Linked DNA regions of Coturnix japonica. The protein of the gene in region 1 interacts with the protein of each later gene in a pairwise test. Links are inferred from orthologs where the notes say so. Each region holds a gene or a part of one and is shown on either strand. Other genes may lie near its edges.

Region 1 (10,432 bases):
AGTCTCTGGAGACAGATTTGGCTCTTAGAGAATTCAGGAGACTTAATTTCAAATTCTACCTCTTGTCCAGAGCACAGGGCTGATTTACCTCCTTGCTTCCCAACCCAGTCTTTGTCACTTGCAAGATGTGGATATCAGCATGTGTACTGAGCTAAAAATGCTCAGTCGCTCTCCAGTAAAGCTTTATTTGGAAGGATGGCAGAGAAGTGAAAAAGAACTAATGGTTCAGGCTGACTGATAAGTGGTGGTATTGGCATGAAAGCAGCCCATTTTCGTTTCCCTAGCTCGCACTCTTTGCTGTTTTCTTAAGTGGTCTTTGAGCTTTTTGATCATCTGTGCATTAGCAAATCTGTCTGTTTATATGTGAGTGGATGGAAATGTTTTTATGGTAGGTAATGAATTGGATAATTGCACCAAGCATTAGTGTTTAATGTATATCTGTAAATATGGACTAGCCTTTAGCAATCTGAGCATATTCATCCAGTGCAATGGAAAACATTTGCAAGTGATTTTAATTTAAAAAGAGATGTTAAGAACAGAAATGGGACATTGTACATGGTTGTAACTTCTCAGGCCCCTGGAGGCCTTCAGTTTAGGACTGATCATGATAGCTTCTGTTTCATTTACATTGCAAATGAAATCTTAGGTTATTTTTCTTCATTATGTTGTCTGGCAGTTGAATCAGTATCTTTGCTGCACAGACGTGGCCTGTTCAGTGGAGACGTGCATGCATTCAGATAACAGAAGTACAGGGCTGATATCAAGCCCTGCAACATCTGCTGAATTCACATGGGGAAAGGGAATATGAACACAAATACACAAAGGGCACAGCTACTGCGATGGTAAATATTATTTTTTCCATGCCACACCCAAGCCAAAAATAGAGACAGAAAGGGCCTTAACAAAGCTTTATTCAGGTTTCTGGAAGTGGAAAGTTTTTTTCCACTGATCTCTAAGTGAACAGGGCTGCCAGCTTGCTTCAAAAATCTGACACTGCCAAAGCCTTACACTTGTTTTACTGCAAGTAGATTGGAAGAATACTTTTACTGTGAGCAGATCAGAAGAGTAGCTCCTCATGAACAACCAGTGTTAAAATCACATAGAGAAGATTGCTGTCAGGCTTGAATGCTGTAAGAAATGTAAGAGCTGCTTAACATTTTTTAGGGGAGAAGAAACTGTAGGTCCTGTAGAGCAGTACAGATTTGCTGGTTGGCCCTGGGGTGGCTGCAGCCCAGACCTGGGAGCTGCAGAAGGTGAAGGGGAGAAAAGCGTTAGGCTGCTGCATCAGGACGTGGGCCCCTTGTTCTGTGTCCTGCACTGTTGCACAAGGTTCAGGTGCTGAGTAAGGCTGATAATGCTGGGCACTCCCAAATCTAATAAAAGTGTTGCAAGAAGCTGCGGGATGAAGGGGGAAGTGAGAGCTGTAAATACAACCACAGCAATAAATTTAACCATTGCAATAAATCCTGGGGGAGAATAGCTTTTCAGAGAAGGAAAGGACATACTGCCAGGCAAATCCCTGAATCTGTGGGAATGTGGTTCCATATAGCTCATTTGGTACACTCCTTCTGCTCCTGCCTTAAAGCAGCCTCCAGAGACTCCACATCAGAGTTGACATTATGGACATTAATGCCAACCTATCTGGGCAAAGTGTCTTCACACCCAAACGCATCTGTCCTCAGCAGGGAGTGTAGTCAAAAGTGAAATAATCTTTTTCTATGTAGTCTGGAGATCTTCTGTCCTTGGGCAGAGCTGAGCTGCTGTGCCACTGAAATTTATGCTGGTAGCAAAGCGCTGGGCAGATTTGTGGCAGCACCAGCACAGCCTACACCAGGTCACATATTCTGCTCCTGGCCTGTGTATGAGGATTTGGTACTATTCCCACTGTTGTCAGTATGGAAGGGTCCTGGAGGAGGTTCCAGGTTGAAAGGTTTTTCAGTCACTTGGAGTACATTTCCTCCTTCACATTGGATGCTCTCTTCTTTTCTACTCATCTCTTGCACAAAAGCAGATTGTCTGCTATAGCAAAGCATTCGCCTTCTTCTCATTAAATCCAAAAGTTAACTGCTTTTTAATAACAATGCACAGCTTTCTTTCATAGCTGGGGAATGACTTAAAGTGGAGCCAGGCCCATTTGGTTTCACCAGAAAAAAAGTAAGCCCCAAGGAGATGGCTTGTTCCTTGCTTTCCCAAATGGAAAAATAACTTATGTGAATTAATAATAGACTATTTGACCACAAATATTTTTCTAACCAGAAAGCATCTGTGGCTTTGCAGCCAACATCTGTGGTTAAAGTGAAGAATTGGAAATTAAATAAACTTTTGTAGAAACTGCAGACAAAAACGTCACACAAAAAAGGAACCTTAGGTCTTTTTTTTTTTCTTTTTTCTTTTTTTTCTTTTTCCCAGCTTCCTGCTGTAACTGATTAAATGTTTAGTTTCCAAACTATGTACTCAGCTCTTAATAAAACTGTAAAGTTCCTCCATATGTCCGAGCAAAAGTGACTTAGAGGGAAGATCGAGGAAAAATTGCTGTTTTTCCCCCCTTTCCAATAATACTTTTGACCTTTCTACCAAAAGCTATTTTGTCCATTTGATATCAAACTTTCAATAAGTAAAACTATGTCACTTGTTGTACCTATTTTCCATAACAATATGTCCAGTTTGCTGGAATTCGTGCTCCTTAGCTTTGCAAAACCCAGCCATGTCCATGCATCATTGCTTGCACTTCTTTTGGTGGAAGAATGAGGCACAGTGTGCTGTCAGGTGGCAGATGAACAGGTTTTGGAAGAGGAATTTTAAGTTCCAAGCAAATATTTATTATCTGATGACATCACCTTTCAGTGGGTTGCATATGTCAAGTCTTGTCCTCACCACGTCACTTGTGAAACGATGGTTGTGTGAGATGTTGACAAGACTGAGATTGTGTTTAACTAGATACTGTGCAAACACAGAAAAAGGCCTCCCCTTCCTGAAAAACGTGAATGAAGGCTTTCCTGAGGTGGCAGAACAGCACGGACTCAAAGCAGACTCTGGTCTCCTGTGCAGGCCCTGCTTGCCCTGAGGTCTCCTGTTGGCTGGGGCACTGGGCACCCTGTTCCATGACCAGACACTTTCTCTCTTCTGTCTGTCTTTCTTTTTCTGCACAGGACTGTCACACAGAGACCATGCAGGCCTTCTCTATTACTTGCCTGTGTGGTCTCCTTCCCTGTTATATTTTATATGCCTCAGATCCTGTACTTGGTTTTCTGCTCAGTGGGAAGGAAAGCATCACACTCTTGCCTATATGAAGAACCTTGGTTGAAAGCAGATACTTCCTTAAGTGTTTCCTTGAGATGTGATAAAAACAACCATGTGGCTAATGAAGAGCCTTAGCACTCAAAAATATTTCCTTTGCATGGTGATCACTTTCTACCTGGCTTTCCAAGGAAGCCACAGATGCACTCAGTCACAGCTTTTGCTCTGTCTTCCTGCCTACCTAGAGCTGCAAGAAAATGAGCAGGTTCACGATTTGCAGTATAAGCCTTAAATCTGATACAGGTTTCCTGAGATTCACAAGCATTTTGGAAAAGCCAGGTTAACTTTTAATCAATATTTTGCTTAGCTCTGGTTTTGGGAGAACAGAAAACAATTCCAAACTCATGGAAGCATTTTAATTTTTATGTTTCCTTGGTTTTTCCCAAAGACTGAAGATAAAAATTCTGTCTTGGATTTGCATGAATCTCGGTTTCAAAGAATATCTTTTCTAGCGTACTCTTGTACGTCTTTGACTTGTGTGTCCTTCCTGTGAACAATACTACATTTGGATGTTGTGTTGAGGGACATAGTTCAGTGGGAGCTATTGGTAATACGTGAATGGTTGGACTGGATGATCTTTTAGGTCTTTTCCAACCTTGGTGATTCTGTGATTCTGTGATTTGATTCTATGTTGAAGTGACAGAGCAAGCTAGTAGGTTGGGTTATACCATTAGAAAAAAAAAAAACAACAAAACAAATGCAATAATTAAAACAGTGTAAATTACTGTAAAGATTGTAAGATTTTTGGTATAATGAACATCTGAACTGCTAGCATGCTTGGAGTAAACTCTTCTATATGCCTCTCTTTGGAAATGAGCTACTTCTCGCCCTCATTAAGTATCTGTTTGCTCAGAGTGACTTTAGCATTTCTTGTGTCTTTCACCCTACAAAGACATGTTATTTAATCAGTGTTCACAGATTTGCCTGCTCCTAAGTGCTGGCTTTCATAACCCACCCAATTTGTACAAACATTTGGTAGAAGAGTCTGGCCTTGGCAGGCTGCTCCCCACAGGTCAGTTGGGTGCAATGCTCACCTTGGGAGAAAGCTTGTGTAACAGAATGCCTGTGTATTTGGGGGTCTGCTGTGTTTCTCTTATGTTTAGATTTTGCTTACCAAATAAGCCCCTTATCTACAAGAGTTACTGAATAGATAAATGTGTATGTATTTTTGTAAATAATTTAAATTCAGAGGTCAGTTATAGTAAATTTAAAACAGTTGTTTTAAAACATGGTTGTTTCTTTCTACATCTTCATCTTCTTAGTGAACTCCTCTGCTGGGAGGTGAGCAGTACCCATAGCTGGTAAAAGACTCGGTGTCTCAGGCTGGACCTACATCAGGTTGAGATGGCCACCCTGGAAGTGAGCAATTGTTTTTTAAGCTCTAGTGATAAACTTGTTGGAGCTCCAACTTCCTTGGGTTTATTTTAAGCACTGGTAATGATAAAGCAAAGAAAGTTGAGAGCTTATCTATATGTAGCAAGGTGTCATAGTTATTGTTATTCTCCACTTCTTTTTAGTATACTCTAGTGTTATGTGCAAAGAGGAAAAAGGTTTTCTAGAATAAAGTGAAGAAAATGTACATTGCCTGCAATTACCACCTGCTATCCTAGGAGTAAAACTATAAACACCACTTACTCCTTTTATGCAGTGAGAATCCCCAGGGGGTGGAAATCTAAAGGTGCACTGAGATCTTCTAGTAAATATAGGTTTTGTAGCTCTGCAGCTACAGGTAAATGGTGGTTTTTATCGTCTACAACTAAATTCCTATAAAGGGGTAAAAATGGTGAGTATGTATTGCCCCATGTGAAAATAATTACAGTTTAGAGAAAAACTGTGATGAAGAAGATCTTTGTGAACAAAGTGCTGATGCCGCATCCTGGACAAATCCTTCAGCAAAATGAAAAAAAAAAAGAACTGCAATATTGCCAGCAATTGTCAGTGAAACTTTATCACTTAATGGATATGCCCTCATACAATTTAACTTCTCAATTAACTGACTGCCTTTCCTTCTACTCCCTGTTTTTGTTTTTAATAATTATTATTTTTTTCTCCTTTTATAGAGCACTGAAATATCCTCCCCATCTGCATTTCATTTGCATTTGTAAGATATTTTTTCCTTTTAAATGCATCAAATTGAAGGAAGGGAAATCAGAAATCATGAAAGTTCAGCGAGAAAGCCACATCCATTAAAATATACTTTCATCAGAGTGACTGAAACAATGTGCAGTTCATGGTATAAGTAAAGTCAGAAGAGCTCTAAATCCACTCAGTTCAGATGTCAGACACATTAACTCCCCTTTTACCTTGCATACTCTAACACAACAGTCTGAATAGCTAAGAAATCTTCTAAAATATCAGTTTTTCTATAGTTACATTTCGTTTAAGAGCATTGTTTTGTTTGGATTTCTGCTGAGCCAACCGAGCATATAAACAAAACTGATTTTACAAAAGGTGAAACAGGTGAGATCTGATATTTTCCAGATAAAAGTTAGCTTATTTTGAGAGCTAAAGTTAAGAAAGAGTGTACACAACATGTCCTACAATCAGTTTCTCTTGAAAGCACAGTGTTGTAAGTTAAAGGAACAAGAACTTTTCCTACCTGTAGCTTTTGTCCTGATCAGGAAGTGTTGCTTTTTTCTGATTACAATCTTCCATGGCTTAGCTCGGCTCCTGCATTTGAATGTTAAATATGTAAGAATGCCTTGTTTAGCTTGGGAGTTTGCATGACCTCTTAATGAGACACTGTAGTTAGTGTCATTGGGTATTAAGTCGTCATGTGACTGCAGATGAAAATAAAATCCTTTAAAGTTTGCATTTAATACTTCCTAGAATCTGTAACCCTTTACCTGCAAGCTGGAGAAAACCTGACAGACCTCACTGCTTTCTAGCCGGGTTAGAAAAGGAATGGGAGGGATTGCAAGTGCCGAATAGTTCTCCACTGGGACACCCGCTCACCACAACCACAACAAAGTCCAAGTCTGTCAGTGTGTTAACACTGTTATTTGCATATTCTTAAAATTAAATCTTCTCATGCCACAGGCAGTGCTGAACAGCTCTGGTAAAAATCTCCTCTGTTGTATCAGAGTATTACTGAGCATAGAAATTGAGTCCCACTGTTCTGGGTGATGCTCTGCAGAGGAGCTCTGCTTTAAGGTAGGTGTTTGCAGGCACCCCCTAATACTTACTGATGAAAGTTGCTGACTTCCCTGGAATCACTTTGGTTTGGGTGTGGTGTTTCCAAATGCGCTATGAAAGATGTTCTGCTGCTGCAACCCAGTTATGAGAGTGTTCCCTGTGCGGGAGGAGAGAACTGACTTAAGCAATATCTGCTGGCAGCTGTGTCAGGTGTTTCCCAGCTGTAATCTGTAACGTGAGTAGATGTGTAAGTGGAAACTTAAAGAAGAAAAAAAAGTCCTGGAAAGAACTGGCACTGACATTACGTTAGGATGGGGGTTCCAAAGCAGTACAAGCAGAGGTAGCCCACTTGACAACACTTTGGAAATATTTTGCTAAATTCTCTGTTTGTTTATGGTTATATGAAGCCTGGCTGCTGTACTGGTAGAGGTATTGTTCTCACTCCCAGTGACTGTTCACTTAGAGTGGCCCTCTGACTGGTTGGAGCTTGCACCCCTGTCTTCCCAGTGGAAGAGGCATGCTGAGTACTGCTTGCCTTACTCATGCAAAATAGCCTCTTAAAATCTCACTTCATCAGTGAGCGGGGTTTGCCTTGTGTTTCCCCTTCTAGACGCTATGGTGAGGACAGTGTGGCTCTGCCAGATTCATGTCAGGGGTGGGCTGGGGCTGCCGTGTAGGTGGTGGGGCAGCAGGAGCACTGGCTGTGCCACCTGGCCACATGCAGAGCAATGAAGCTGCCTGCAACACAACTGCCCAGCAACAAAGTCATAAAAGCTTCTTTGGATCTGCTTATTTGAAGCAGAGAACTGTGCTGTAATGTAAAGGCAAACATTATCCGCAGCTTGTGAGTCCAGCAAAGCTCTGCAAAGCTCTGTGGCAGACTTTTTTGATTTTCTTTTTTTAATTTGTCTAAATTATATTCTACTTATTTATTTTTGCTTACATGCTCTTAGCATTGGCTGAAAATAATCTCCTGTTCCTGAAATCTGACTTTTTCTATAGGTATGTGCAAGCTGTTAGAATCTCTTTGAGCTGATAATTTGGTCAGGTTTTTACAGATGTGTCTTGGATGGAGTGTCAAACCACAAGTAGGATAATATTTTTTCCACAGGAAAAGTAGTTGAGATACTCAGCCAGCAGAAACCCTATTTTCCCTCTAATCTCACTGTAGACTGTTTTGGTGGTGTTTTTATTAATTAATTAATTTGTTTGTTTCTATTTTTCTTTTTTCATTTTGGAGGATATTCCTGTTGAGATAACACTCTGCCTTGACAAATTGCAGCCCAAGAGGTTAACATCGTAAGTTAGATACCATCAGCAAAGTGGTCTTACAGTGGGAAATTCTGGGCACTTACTTAAGAGGCAATTCAATAATGGAGACAGATGACAACAGGCTGGTATGTTTCTTTCAAGATCTTCTGTTTTCATCTGTGCTTTGGTGTGTCTGTTTTTTTTGTTTCATCCCCTGCCTTGCAAATGTTGTGTATTTCACTTCAAGTCTGTTGACTGGACCTCTTTTAGTCCTGAAGCTTTCCAGCATACAAAGAACACCACCAAATTCACATGGAATCAGGTGATGACATTATCTCTTTTGTATGCTGTGGTAAATGAAAGAGCTGTGCTGGTGCAGCAGTGTTATGTAGTGAAAGCCATGCCAACAGGAACATGTGGATGTGCCCTAAATTTGCCTTCATGTATTCCCTGCTGAGGCTGGAGATGGAATCCCTGTGCTGCAGACACGTCAGGTGCTGCAAGTGGTGGAGGCTGCAGTCATTTGGAGGCTTTGCTGGGTGGGATGGAATATCCAGATGCTTCTTGAACACTGTCAGGGATGGTGACTCCAGTGATGGAGAAGGATGGTTGTGTGAACTGCTCCTCCTGGAGAAGCACCTGGCAAAGTGCCTCATTCTATGATCCTTAGAAGGATCATAGAATATTCTGATCTGAAATGGACCCAAAAATATTATCTACTCCTGGCTCCACACAGAACACCCCAAAATTCAATCTCCATGTCTGAGAGTACTGTCCAAACACTTTGTGAACTCCAGCAACTTGGGGCCGTGACCACTGCCCTGGGGAGACTGTTCCATGCTGCTCCTTCTTTAGTACAGAACCTTTTCCTAATCCCCAGTCTAACCCTCCCCTGACACAGTTCCATTAATTCCCTTGGGTCTGTTGCTGTCACCAGAAAATGGAGCTCAGTGATGCCCCTTGTGAGGCCTCCCCTCAGCCTCCTCTTCTCTGGTCTGAACAAAACAAGAGACCTCAGCTGCTTCTCACACACCTTGCCTTCCAGACCTTCCAGCATCCTTGTTAACTTCTTTCAGCCTTTGAGTTTTGAGAATTGACATTGTGATTTAGGCCCACACTGTGATCATCAGTGGCTTTGTAAAAGTCTCCAGACTACCTCCAAAATGCCAGGAGTGGTGTTTGATGACCAGGCTGGAAAGGCAAACCAAGGGAAATAATGCAGTCCATTGCTCTTCCTGCATCAAGGTTGAGCTCCACAAAGAAATGTTGAGTAATATCTTTAACAGGGTGTAATAATTTTAAAGTAGGTCATATTTGTAACATAAATGTATAAAATGACTTTTAATAACAAGTCCTTGACAGCTATCCTGAGGTCCTACTTCACATTTTGACATTTACGGGTCATATTTGTGAATATGTTAAAAATGTGCGAAAAAATAAAATGCCCTTGATTTTATAATTGAAGAAATAGGGATACATAACAAAATTTCTGTCATTTTGAACTTTTAATATTTACTGTAAAACACTGAGTAGTTTTATGTAGCAAAGTTTTGGTAGCATGGAGGACTGTGGTGTGGCCTCTGTAAGAGCCCAGAAGCTGTCTCATGTTACCTAAGAGTCAAATCCATCTAGGGTGGATATATTATATCTTTTAGTCCCTTATGAAAAAAAGAAAACAATGTGTCACAAAGACACATAAGCATCACATCAGTCAACTTGCCTTGAAAAACTTTCAATGTAATTTTTTGACAGTCACAGTGAATTCTCAGGACTTTAAACTGATCTAGGGCTGAAATAGTCCTTCCCCTGTTTCCTTGTATGACCATTATTATAGTGGCAGATATTTGTTTCAGTCTCCCTTTGCCACTTGAGAACACTTCTGTCACTACAGGTTTCTGAGCAGGACTTGCTTATGCAGCATAAAGAAATCAGTGCAGGAGAAACACTGAAAACTGAAAGCCTTCTGAATGCCTTTTCCAAGCTACCTGTTAACTCACATTTGATGTTATCTGCTAGTAGCGTGAAAAAATTTAAATGGCCACAGGCCGTATGAAATGAAGTCACGGGCCGTGCATTCCCCAGTTGTGGTGCAAAGGAAATGACTGATAAAAATGCTTTTTCTAGCTGACCTCTGGCTTACCTTTGTCAGCCAAAGAATTTCCGGCTATTTCCCCCCTAAAGCTTTCTTGCAGCTATGGCCTATTCCTAGAGCCTTGTGTGTCAGAAAATATGGACCTTCATCTGATCCTGTTTATTGATGCACTTTAGATAAAGAATGAATGAAAGCTTTGTTCTGGATATGCAAATAGTGCTCCTTAAGAGAAAGTAAATTGCCCTGTTCCTCTGAAGAAATAGAATAGCACTTTGTATTTGGGTCTCTCATTATTAAAGAAACTGTTTACTTTCTATACAATAGTATGGGAGTGCTTGCGGTCATATTTGTGAGGGCTGTGGAGCACCCAGTCTTGCAGCAGCCGGTATTTGGACACCCTGCAGCCTGATAATGTTCAGAAACATCTACTGTGATAGCTCAGTGTTCATCTGACACCTGAGAAATAGACTCAGAAAGGTGGAAAGCTGAGTACAGATACACTGAGGTAGATTCAAAGTGTAAAGAGGAACAGGATCTAAACAGAATTCTCAGTGAGATTATAGACCCAATACTAGGCAAAAGGACTTAATTAAAGTAAGAGTCATGTGTATGTTTGTCTTTCTTACTGGTTTACAATTAAGAGAAATAGGAGTGCTG
Region 2 (10,446 bases), on another chromosome or scaffold:
AACACCCCAATGTGATAAAACTCAGGAGCAGGTCACAGTACAGAAATAGCCAACAGTTGGGAAAGCACATTAAGAAGAAATTAAATGTAAATATAATAAGAAGTGACAGTCCTTCACACAAATTGTGACATGGATTATCTACTGCAAAACCTTTTTCTATTATTGTTTCAAGCCTTCAGTGCAACACGTAAGCAGACCTCTGTAGCCACCAAGGCTACTTACTGGATCCTTATAGAGGTAGTTGTACAGCTATGTTGGCATGAATGGTATTACAGATCAAGACCAGATGAAAAGACCAGCAGCTCTTTTACAGTTATAAGCAACCAATATTCATCATTTCCCCCAAGTGGAATCATCTTTAAACAATTTATTTCCAAGTTACACAAATTGATGCCAGGTCTACTCCCATGAAGGGGGGGGGGGGGAACCTCGTCTGAACAAGTTTCCTCACCAGTGCAAGTACAAGCTGTCCCATTTCTTACACATGCATAGTGCCAGCACCAACAGCCTTGGCATGTCATGGGCAAGGGGGAAGGAGAGCTGCTTGTTTTACTCTTTAACTCTGTGTTTCTGGAAGGTCAGTAAGATAAAGACTCAAGGAAGGCAGCACACAAAGGAGCATCACTGAAGCCAGCATTCATAGATTGCCTGCAAGTGTTTATCTAAAGTATTGTGCTGTCAGTACAAGCTTTTCAGAACAGGTAACTGAACATCACTGAACATTACCCAAAAGATTTTTGATCACAAGCAGAAGGGCAAAAAGGACAAAGCAACCATTAGATGTAGTTACTGTGATTTTATGGGTTGCAGTATCCAGGAAAAAAATAAAATATTAACTGAAATGATAGATTTTTATGACAATGAAAACCTATTGCACTGTAGACTACCATGAAAGACTCGCTTTCTGAGGAGCTATAAGCTACTGTTACTAACCTATTGTACCATTAAACACCCCATATTAAAACAATTATAGACCATCTATTACCCCTTTTGCAGGTACAGACATTCCTCAAACAAAGTAAATCAACCCTGGACTCACATTATCACAGAGAACTCAAGGGATGGAAGACAAGAGGTAGTGAGGACAAGAGGGGCTTTTAAATACACATGCACACAAAAAACAGGCAAGAACATGAGCCACTTTTGTTGGCAACATCACAGAAGGGTCCAGGTTGGAAGGGGCCTCAAGGACCATGAATCTCTAACCCATCTTGCAGGCAGGGCCACCAACTTCCCCATTTAATACTAGACCAGGCTGCCCATAGCCCCATCCAAACTGGCCTTGAACACCTTCAGGGACAGGGCATCCACAACCTCTCTGGGCAGCTGTTCCAGCACCTCACTAATCTCATGGTCTCAAACATGATTTAGACCAAATCCCCATGCAAACTAAAACCAGCTCCATCATTTTTGTGAATTGTTAGGTAGTCCAATAGCTTTCAGAAGTGTTGCTATGTGTGGCTTTGCTGACAATCAAAAAAGCTGGAATAAGATCCTACAAATAGTTGATCCATTAGAATACCACAGTGTCATGTAATACAGAAAACCCTGGAAAATTGCTGTTAGATGCAAAAAGAACATTACTCAACTGGCCAGTCTGTTAATTGGTCTGAGGGAGAAGACTAGGAGAAATTAGGATATACCATATGAGTTATGGGAAAAGACAGACTACTCAATATCATCTGCATATAAGACTTGTTTCTTTACACAGCAGTCCCACAGATTCAAATGTAGCCTGTTCACCAGCATGTGTAATTACAAGTCATGCCTCACCCCTATCAGATGAAATCAATCATCAGAGGGAAGGAACAAGATGGATATAGCCAGTGTAAAGAGAATTTAAATTCGAAAACAGTGCTAAGATGCAAGCTAATATAATCCTGTCTGTTTAGCATTAAGCCAAATGCATCAAGCCCTATTCCCAGAGAATAACTAATACAGAATCTACTTTCACTGTCCATATAAATCTTATATGTTATAACCTTCAATGTTTCAGCACCAAAAGACTAGCCCAACTATTCAGTAATCACAGAACCAGCACACTTAAGATGAATTTCAATGTTATGTTATAGATCTATTCCTCCAAATCCACCCAATGAGGTTTTCAATCATTCAATGGAACTGCCTGAAAGGAAAAAACAACACAACACCCTACATTCAGATAAACTTCTTGTAAAGCAGGAAGATGAAAAGCAAGAAACTCCACACTTTCCCAAAATGTACAGCTACTGTTACCAGTGCCCAAGACACAAACTTGCTTTTCTCATCTATGCTATTTTCTGACAGGCACTTAAAAGTCAAGTGGCAGAAGAACCAGGAAGGGCAGAAACTTTCCCAAATCCACCTTTGCTCACTGGTCAGTGTGAAAACAATCTACTTGTCTATGAAAGAAAGTATTTTGCTTCATACTACCTTTTGAAAGCATGTTTAAAGAGAAGACAGAGTGTTATGCTTGGAACTTGAAAGAAGTTGGAAAACAATGGAAACATGAAGTTCCAGATGGCAGAATTTCACTCCTCAGCTACGTCACCTACCTACACCACTGGTGCTGTCTCCATTCCATTCTCCAGGCTCCATTTACCTCAGATGTAGATAATCTTAAAGCAGCCAAACGTTTGTGCTATTTCTTTTTAAGCCTGCTCCTTCTTTTTAAGCGAAGTACCAAGTGGAAGAAGGCCTGAGGCATTGATCTACCTGCATGATTAATTCAATGACTGGTTTTTAGGACAGAACCAGAAGTTACAGCTCTGCTCCTCCTAGAAAGATTATCCCCACTAACAAGAAGTTCCACTCCACTTCTTGTAGGGAGGATTCAAGAAGGTTGTGTTAAGAGAAAATCCACTAAGATCTTTGCCATCAGAAAAACTTAAGCTTAGTAAGAAAGAACGGGATAAAAACAAACACTTAACTTGAGGCCTGTCCCAAATTCAGAGGCAAAGACCTTGGCCTTTATTTGTAAAGCCCAAGTACATGGCTAATATGCAGTTCTAACAGTGTACCTACCCTGTGCACAACTTGGTACCTTTAAGTTTCTCTTGTTAATGGTTGCTCATAATAAACTGGAAAAAAAAGCACAAGTTCCCCCCTTCCGGAGAGAAGTTACCTACATAGTACTTCCATTCGTAGATCATAACCACTCCTCTTGTATAACTTTGACTGCATAGTACAAAGCTGAAAGCCTCTGTGCCTCAAATACTGAGCTACTTCTCTTATTAGAGCTGGGGACAGGATGGTTGAATTCACTGAAATTGGTGTCAAGTGCAGCTATGATGATAACAACCTCTGTATTCTAAAACTAATAAAGACAACAAGAAACCTAAAGAAGCAGCCTACTGTACAGGTTCTGTATTAAGCTAATGCTTACATTCAGCACCTTCCCAAAAGAGATAACAAAAGGAATACTATCAGAAAACAGCACTCAAGTTTAATAGGCATCTTTAAATGCCTCTTAGTAGAGCAAACATGTACTCCTCAAATACCTGCATGCACATCTATCACAGCCACTTCCAGATGAGTTCACTCTGACAGAGTATAACTGCTTGTGCATTTTATTATTGTGAAGCCAATTTGGGTGACTAAGTTGCACAAACTTGCAGTAAATTCAAGAAGCCTATTTTTAGACGGTTACTTCAAAATACTCTGAAATCTGGCTTTCAATAAATCTGTTGTCTGAAGTTCAGAATAGAAATTATTTAGTACACCCTAATACTTTGGTTTTGTGTCTGCCTATCACATGAAAAACAAAAGATGCCTGGACTAGGCCCTAATTTCATCTCTCTCTTGTACTATCACTACTGACACGCAGACAAAGTTCATTTCTCTTTTGTTAACATGTCTCTTTTTAAGTACTAGAAGGCCACAAAGAAGCCTCTCCAATACAGAATAACACAACACATCCCTGTTTCTCTTTCAAGCTCTTTTCCTCTTCCAAGGGAATTTGAAAGTAAAACTACTCAGTTCTCATTGCCCTATCAACCACTAACAGATAAACCACAAACAGAAACAGCTCCAAACACAATAACACATCCCAATGGGTAAACAACCAGCACTCAGCAATCAGTTCCTCTGATAACAAGAACACATCCACCTGCCTCAAGGCTTCAGCAGCAAACCTGTGCCCCCTATATGGACAAGCCCCAGGAAGGCCACACACTCGCCACTCATTAATCATATAACAGCACACTAAGGTGTTTAACAACACCAGCCTAAAGCTTGGTTTAAAGAGGAAGCACGACGTGATCACTTTCTATCCTCCCCCAGACGAAAGGCCCCACCTGGAGCGAACCAGGCCCAGCCCTGACAACGCCGTTCAGCAGTACGAGGCCGGGCTAAAAATACAACGCAGGCCTAACGCTGCCAAGAACAGCCATAGGGCTGCGGACGGGGGTTGGTACCCGGCCCTACCAGGAGGGATCCGAGCGGGAAGGGCGGAAACAAGGACGAGCCCTTGGGCCAGGTCACCCCGCGGTAGGAAGAAAAAGGCCGAGGCCTCACACCTGCAGCAAACAACGTTTCTCCCCTCACCCAGCCTCAAACCTGAGACAGTTTAACGCTTCTAACATAGCACAACCCCAAAAGGAAACCCAGGCCTTACACCGGTGACCCCCACCCTCTTCCTCTGTGTCTCTCCAGGCGCTTATCCCTTTAAAGACATGGGCCTAGAGAAGAAAACGAAGCCTCTCTCACCTCACCGCCTTACCTCGATACCTCTCCGCCCCGCAAAGCTCACCGAGCTCCGAGGGGGCTCCTCCACCTCGCCGGAAACCCAACAAGGAGGAAGCGTCCGCCGTGTTACCACACACCAGGCGTTGTCCGGAACTAACCGGCAGCCGCTCGGATACTTGGGATTCGTAGTCCTCTCTCCTCAACTACAACACCAACAATGCAACGAGGCGATAAAAGGGGCGGGTAGGAGGGAATGAGGAGGAGTATAGGAGTAGAGTCTATTCAATCAGAGCTCGAATCTGGACGGGTGGGCGAGGCCTGGACGGGGCGCGGTGGCATATCCCGGCGCGGGGAGCAGCGGCTGCACTTCTCACAGTGGAGGGGGGTGGTGTTGAGCTGCTGCTGTGGTAAGTGCCTTTAGCCTGCTGTGTTCAGCCGGTGCTGTGTTTAGGGTTGCGGGAGCAGCCTGCGGTTTGATGTCGGTGTGAAGCTGCGTGGCTCCGTAGTGCGGGTTGTGTGTCAGTGCCTGAGGGGAGGTGGTGGGTGATGTGGGGAGAGAATGGGGAAGGAAGAGAGCAATAATAATGTGGCGTCCTGCTGTCCCGGCACCTGCAGCCTGTCCACCTGAGTGTGTTTTATGCTATTCTGTGGTCTCCTGAAGCTCTGTCCCAGCCGTGGTTTGAGCGTGGCAGAACGAAGCTGCCCCAGCCTTGTGCTGAGCTGCTGCCTCTCTCCTCTCTATCTCTTGGCTTGTGTTGCCCTGTAGGTGTCCCCTATATGGGCTGTTTGACAACGGTCGCGTTACTTTTGGTGCTCGCAGTTATTGGAAAGCTTTAAGGTGAAGCTCTTAGTAACCAATATGAATTCCCATCAATACGCAGCTCAGTTCTAGGTTTGAGCCTTCGTTTCTAATGCGTTAGCTTGCAACTTTTCCTGGTACTGTTATTACTTTGGTGAGGCGTATGCGGGTTTTGCTGTAAGCAGGTGATGAATCGGTGCATCGCGGTGCTCCTGAATGCCAGCTGCATCTCCTTGCAGCGCCGAGGTGGTGAAATGGGAAGATACTGATATATGTGTGGGAGCAGAGCCCTTGTGTGTGCTACCCATACATGCTACCAGTGCCCACCATCTGCATGTAGGTAAGGAAGGATGCTAGAAAACAACTACTAGATTTGTCATGCTTTACTGTGTATGCGGAGTATTTGTCTTTGATTCCTCAATTATTTTGATGCGATCAGTGCTTTAATCCAGCAGAAAGCCTTGCTATTTAGTTTGTGTGACAGACACAGAAGCATTATAGCATGGGTTGAGGTGCATATGCATCTATGATATTGTCATTCCTTAGTGGTTGTAAAGTGATGTTAGGAAGCTGCAGTCCTACTGGTGCTAGTATTTTACTTTAAGTCACAGCATAAGTAATGCTTAATGATGCTTTCCTAGATTTACTTAATATGCTCTTTGACCTGTGTTCAGGCAGTCCAGCAGAGCTCCAGGAGTGTCTGAGTGTTCCATCATTGTAATAACTCCCAACAGTTATTCTATATATGTCAATGTCATATGTTTACTTACCTCTTAATTCAACTTTTGTTTTGTTACTAAATGGAGCAGTGGAGAGGAGATGGTGCTGGTAGGATCCTTTGCACCAAGCTCTAGCTACTCCAAGGTCTTTAGTATGCTTTCTCACTTATGTATCTGTATGGTGACTGTTGAATCAAAGCCTGAACCACTGATTGTGCACCTGGGGAAAGGACCCAGTCAACTGGGAGCACTGGTGAAGGCTTCACCAGTTCAGAAGGAGCGGAGTCTGGCTGTGTCTCTCTTAGACCACACTGAAGAGCTGACTGCCACTGGGGAAGAATCTCTGTCTGGAGATCCCTCCCTTGTGGTGTTTTCCTTGTGAACCCAGATCTTCAGTGATGGGTGAGCCCTTTTCCTTTGTAACACCATCACATTCCCACTATTCCCTTTGCTTCTGTGCTCCTTTATCGCTCTTCCACTTTGTTGACCTTTCTGATTGCTCCAGTATCTTATTGCTTTCTCCAACTCAAGTTTTGTTGCTCTTTATCTATGTCTGTCACTCTTGAATGTTTAAAGTAACTTGTTAGCAGATATTCTGTGTAGGCAGTATATTATTCTGTCTGCCTGAACATGAATTAACATGTTAAGTGTCCTGTGATTCTCTGCTTAAAATTATTTAGGAGGTAACCATTAATATTCAAGGTAGTGGGCAGATAGTAGGGATAGACATCTATGAAGTAACATGTTTAGTGGTAACTTTGTACCTTTGAAGATCAGAGTAGTTGATTTAAATTTGGAAGCGTCTTCAAAACTGTTGGGTTAGTGGAGTTTGTTGGTGAGTATAAATGTAGGTAAGGTAACCTGTGCATTTTGTTAATAAAGCCATGCTGTATTAATAAGCTTTGGTTTTTTTTTCCTGTTGGTCTCATACATGCAATGTGCTTCATGTTGATCCTTCAGCCAAGCTGAAATTGGGTGTCTATAACACAGCCCTGCTGGTAGGGTGGTCACTGCCTGGCATTGCTTGGCAGAGTAGCAGCGATGTTCTTTTAGCTGTTTGTGTTTTGGGTGATTATGAGCAGCATCTCATTTGGTGGCCTGAAATGTCTGATAAGAATTTTTTCTTCTGTGGTGTGCTGAAAATATCAACTCTAAGGTCACTTTCTGCTTTGTTTAATATACTTCAAAGCTAATGATTATGAGAACAGCAGAGTGTGGCTAATGTGATAAAAGCTGCGTGAGTTATCCGCATCCTTCTTGGTCTTTTAGAGCCATTGCAAAGCAGCTGTAGCTATGAGATGAGAGAAAAGAATGTTTTGTTGATACAAGCTAATTAGTTAAATATGCACCTCACTTTTGGTTAATAAGATTTGACCTTATGTATTGTGAAGAATTTTTAGTTTTGTGGAGTGTTTAAATATGGTAATTCTTCAATAATAATTCAGATCTTGAGACAGTTGGTATTTTGGGAGGGGAAATTGATAGTGACAGGTAATATTCCTACTGGAAGAAAGTTGAGCCGTGTGCTTGTGCTCAATTTTAACCAAATAGCTGCCTATTAATCAGATGTCTTCCTGTTTATTCAGTTGTTCTTCAGCCTTGTGGTTTTTCATCATTACTGTTACATCTAAAGTAATAATTGCTTAATAATGTGAAGGATATTTAATCTGCTGTGCATGTCTCAGGGAAAGGCTGACCTCATGATGGCTTTTGAGTCTAGTGGGCTGCAGGCTTCTAGAAAGATCCCTTCCATCCACACTGAAGCTGTACGCAGTGAAGTTTCCTGCTTACACAAACAGAAATGCTTGTTAGCTAAGAGTGTTCCCCTGAGTCCTTCAGTTCTTGTACTCATTTGTTTTCACATATTTTGTCATTTGAGTTTCTGTCTGTGGAGTGGGCTTGGAGTTTCCCTGGTATGAGGAAGAAGAACTATTGTTTGCTTTCTGACTTGTTTTAACAACATATTTAAGACTTGTTTTATTTCTGAAACTGGCTGAATTTTGCTCAGATACCATAGCAAGCACTAATTAGCTTGACAATAAAATAACGTGCCCAAATGCTAGTACCAGATGTGAACTACCACTAGTCAGTTGCTTCAGCAGAGATACCATTCCAGTCCTTGGCTGTGACACATCGTCACAGAAAGTTAGAGAACTTGGACAGCCACTTCTTAATGTTATCTTTTAACCGACCTTGGCATGTCAGGGTAACGTTTGGAGCATGGTACTTTACTGAAGACAGCCTGTCTGAATTCCTCATGATCACTGAGCCACTGGAGACTGCCTCCTGCCTTGACAATAGAGCAAAATGCTGTTTTTCAGTAATGACCACTTCTGTCTGAGGTAATACTCGCTGCCCCAGTTTTCCCTGTGTGCTTCTTGGTTATATAAGTTACAGCTACAAAGAAAATAGGTTTAAAGATTTAAGATTTCTTTTTAATTGGTACACTAAAGCTGCCCGTTTGGAATGCTTTTCTTTCCAGTTCTAAATTAAAGCAGCTCTTTGAGCATTTAATAATTGGGTATTTCACATTACAACTTGAACTCACTGAAGCAACTCGTGTTTTCTTTCTTGCTTAACTTCTTTCCAAAATGCATTTGCTCTAGTTTCTAAACTATTTAAAGATACCAATCTAAACCTATACCCACACAAAGAGCTTACTGTAATACTTGGTTTTCAACTTGAGATTCTTTTGGTGTTAAGAGGGGTAGGTCTCAGCATTGTGAATAGAGATGAAGCTCAAAGGTGAATAATATCTGTGTCAGTGGGGAGGAGACAAGAGGAAAGCCAAGTTTTTACTTTTTGCTGTAGAAACATCAGCTTGTAGATTTGTTAATTTCAGATTTATTTGCAAAGCAGGAGGAAGAAATGCTAATGTCTGCCAAAATGAGTTAATAGAGGGAATCAAAAGATGTCTGATGATTCTTATGAGTACTCGAGAGGAATAAACTTCTCTTATTGAATTCTAAAACACTGTAGTGTAGTTTTTATTCCTTTTAAAAGCATGTGCACTTGCATATGGCAGCCATAAACCTCTTTATTAAGGAGCATTGTTTGTTCATAATAACTTTACAGGCAGCAGCTGTTTTTATTAAAGTAAAAAAACCAACAAAACAAAACTGACTCAATGCTTCTAAAATAGCCTCAGATAATATTTGACGAAAGTGACATTAGAATTGAAGATCACAGAATAGCCTTTAAGTTTAACACTTTATAAGCCTCTCATGCTTGTAGCTTAATATGGGAAAATAAGACCTTGTTTCAACACTATATATGCTTCCATATACTTTTTTTGTCCTGAGACTCTGGCAGTGGTTCTCCCAGCCACAGCACTATTGAACATGAGTTCTGTGTTCTCCCATTTCTATCTGTCCTTAGAGAAGTTATTCCTGAAGGCCATGTGATAAAGGATTTGAGTATAAGGGATTAGTAGTACATGAGAATTGGATAAGGCAGTGTTAAAAGAATATACATCTATCCATTGTAATACAATTGTAGGAGAGTCAGAGCTGAGGTTTTAAATGAACAGTTTTGGTCTTCTGTTGCTATGGTTTTGTTTTCATAGAGCACTAATGAAATTGGCTTTCCTGCTTTCCTTTAGAGTAAATAGGAATAATTTTGTTACGACTGATATGAACAGGAAATAGTTCTGAAATATACCACCTGATGAGCTTTCCCTGAAGAAGTGTTTTTTTAAGATGTCTGGGATGAGAGAATGGCTGATATGCAACTTCTTCCCCTGCTCTGCACCTCCTGGGGTATGGGACTGGTATGTGAAGAACATCCTTAAATGGCTGTTGGAAATTCAGCAGGACATGAGGTAACACTGCTAATAAAAGAATGTCTGAAGGAATAAGCAGCGTGGAGCCATTGTGATGTTTTGTGGCTGTGGGTGTTCCTGTTCATCCTGGGGACAGGCTCTGAAGTTGCATGTCACTTATGTCTAAAAGCAGCTCCTCACTTCACTGCATGCTACAACTATGCTTGTTCTCGCCCTCCTGTAGGACAGCCTTTCATTAGTCCTCCCCAGTATCTCTGAGAGATAGAAAGTGTCACAGTAGCACAAATAAGCATGTGGATTTGGAAGCTTCTGAGGTCTCTACTCACACAGAAGCTTCTTAGCATCATCTGTAGCTGGCAGCTTCCATCTGCACTCCCTATACTGCATACACTGGATTACTGAAGAATGCAGAATATTGGTTTTATGGGAAGATGCTAAGGGAAAACAAGCAAGCATGTGTTTTAACTATGGATGATATGAAG

What was found.
Region 2: the proteins of C4H4orf19 (region 1) and PDCD10 interact in binary tests that used the Homo sapiens proteins (3 or more experiments, as listed by UniProt). The two-hybrid records come from large-scale screens. The link is inferred for Coturnix japonica from reciprocal best matches to the Homo sapiens genes PGCKA1 and PDCD10.

The regions. Positions count from the first base shown.
Region 1 is NC_029519.1:63,118,062-63,128,493, forward strand, and holds the start of C4H4orf19 (uncharacterized protein C4orf19 homolog), read right to left. Parts: upstream 6,124-10,432; 5' UTR 5,897-6,123; intron 1-5,896. UniProt on the Homo sapiens protein: Acts as a tumor suppressor. Acts as a tumor suppressor for colorectal cancer cell proliferation by targeting KEAP1/USP17/ELK1/CDK6 axis.
Region 2 is NC_029524.1:18,266,600-18,277,045, reverse strand, and holds the start of PDCD10 (programmed cell death protein 10), read right to left. Parts: upstream 4,880-10,446; 5' UTR 4,730-4,879; exon of another isoform or gene 4,687-4,729; intron 1-4,686. UniProt on the Homo sapiens protein: Promotes cell proliferation. Modulates apoptotic pathways. Increases mitogen-activated protein kinase activity and STK26 activity. Important for cell migration, and for normal structure and assembly of the Golgi complex.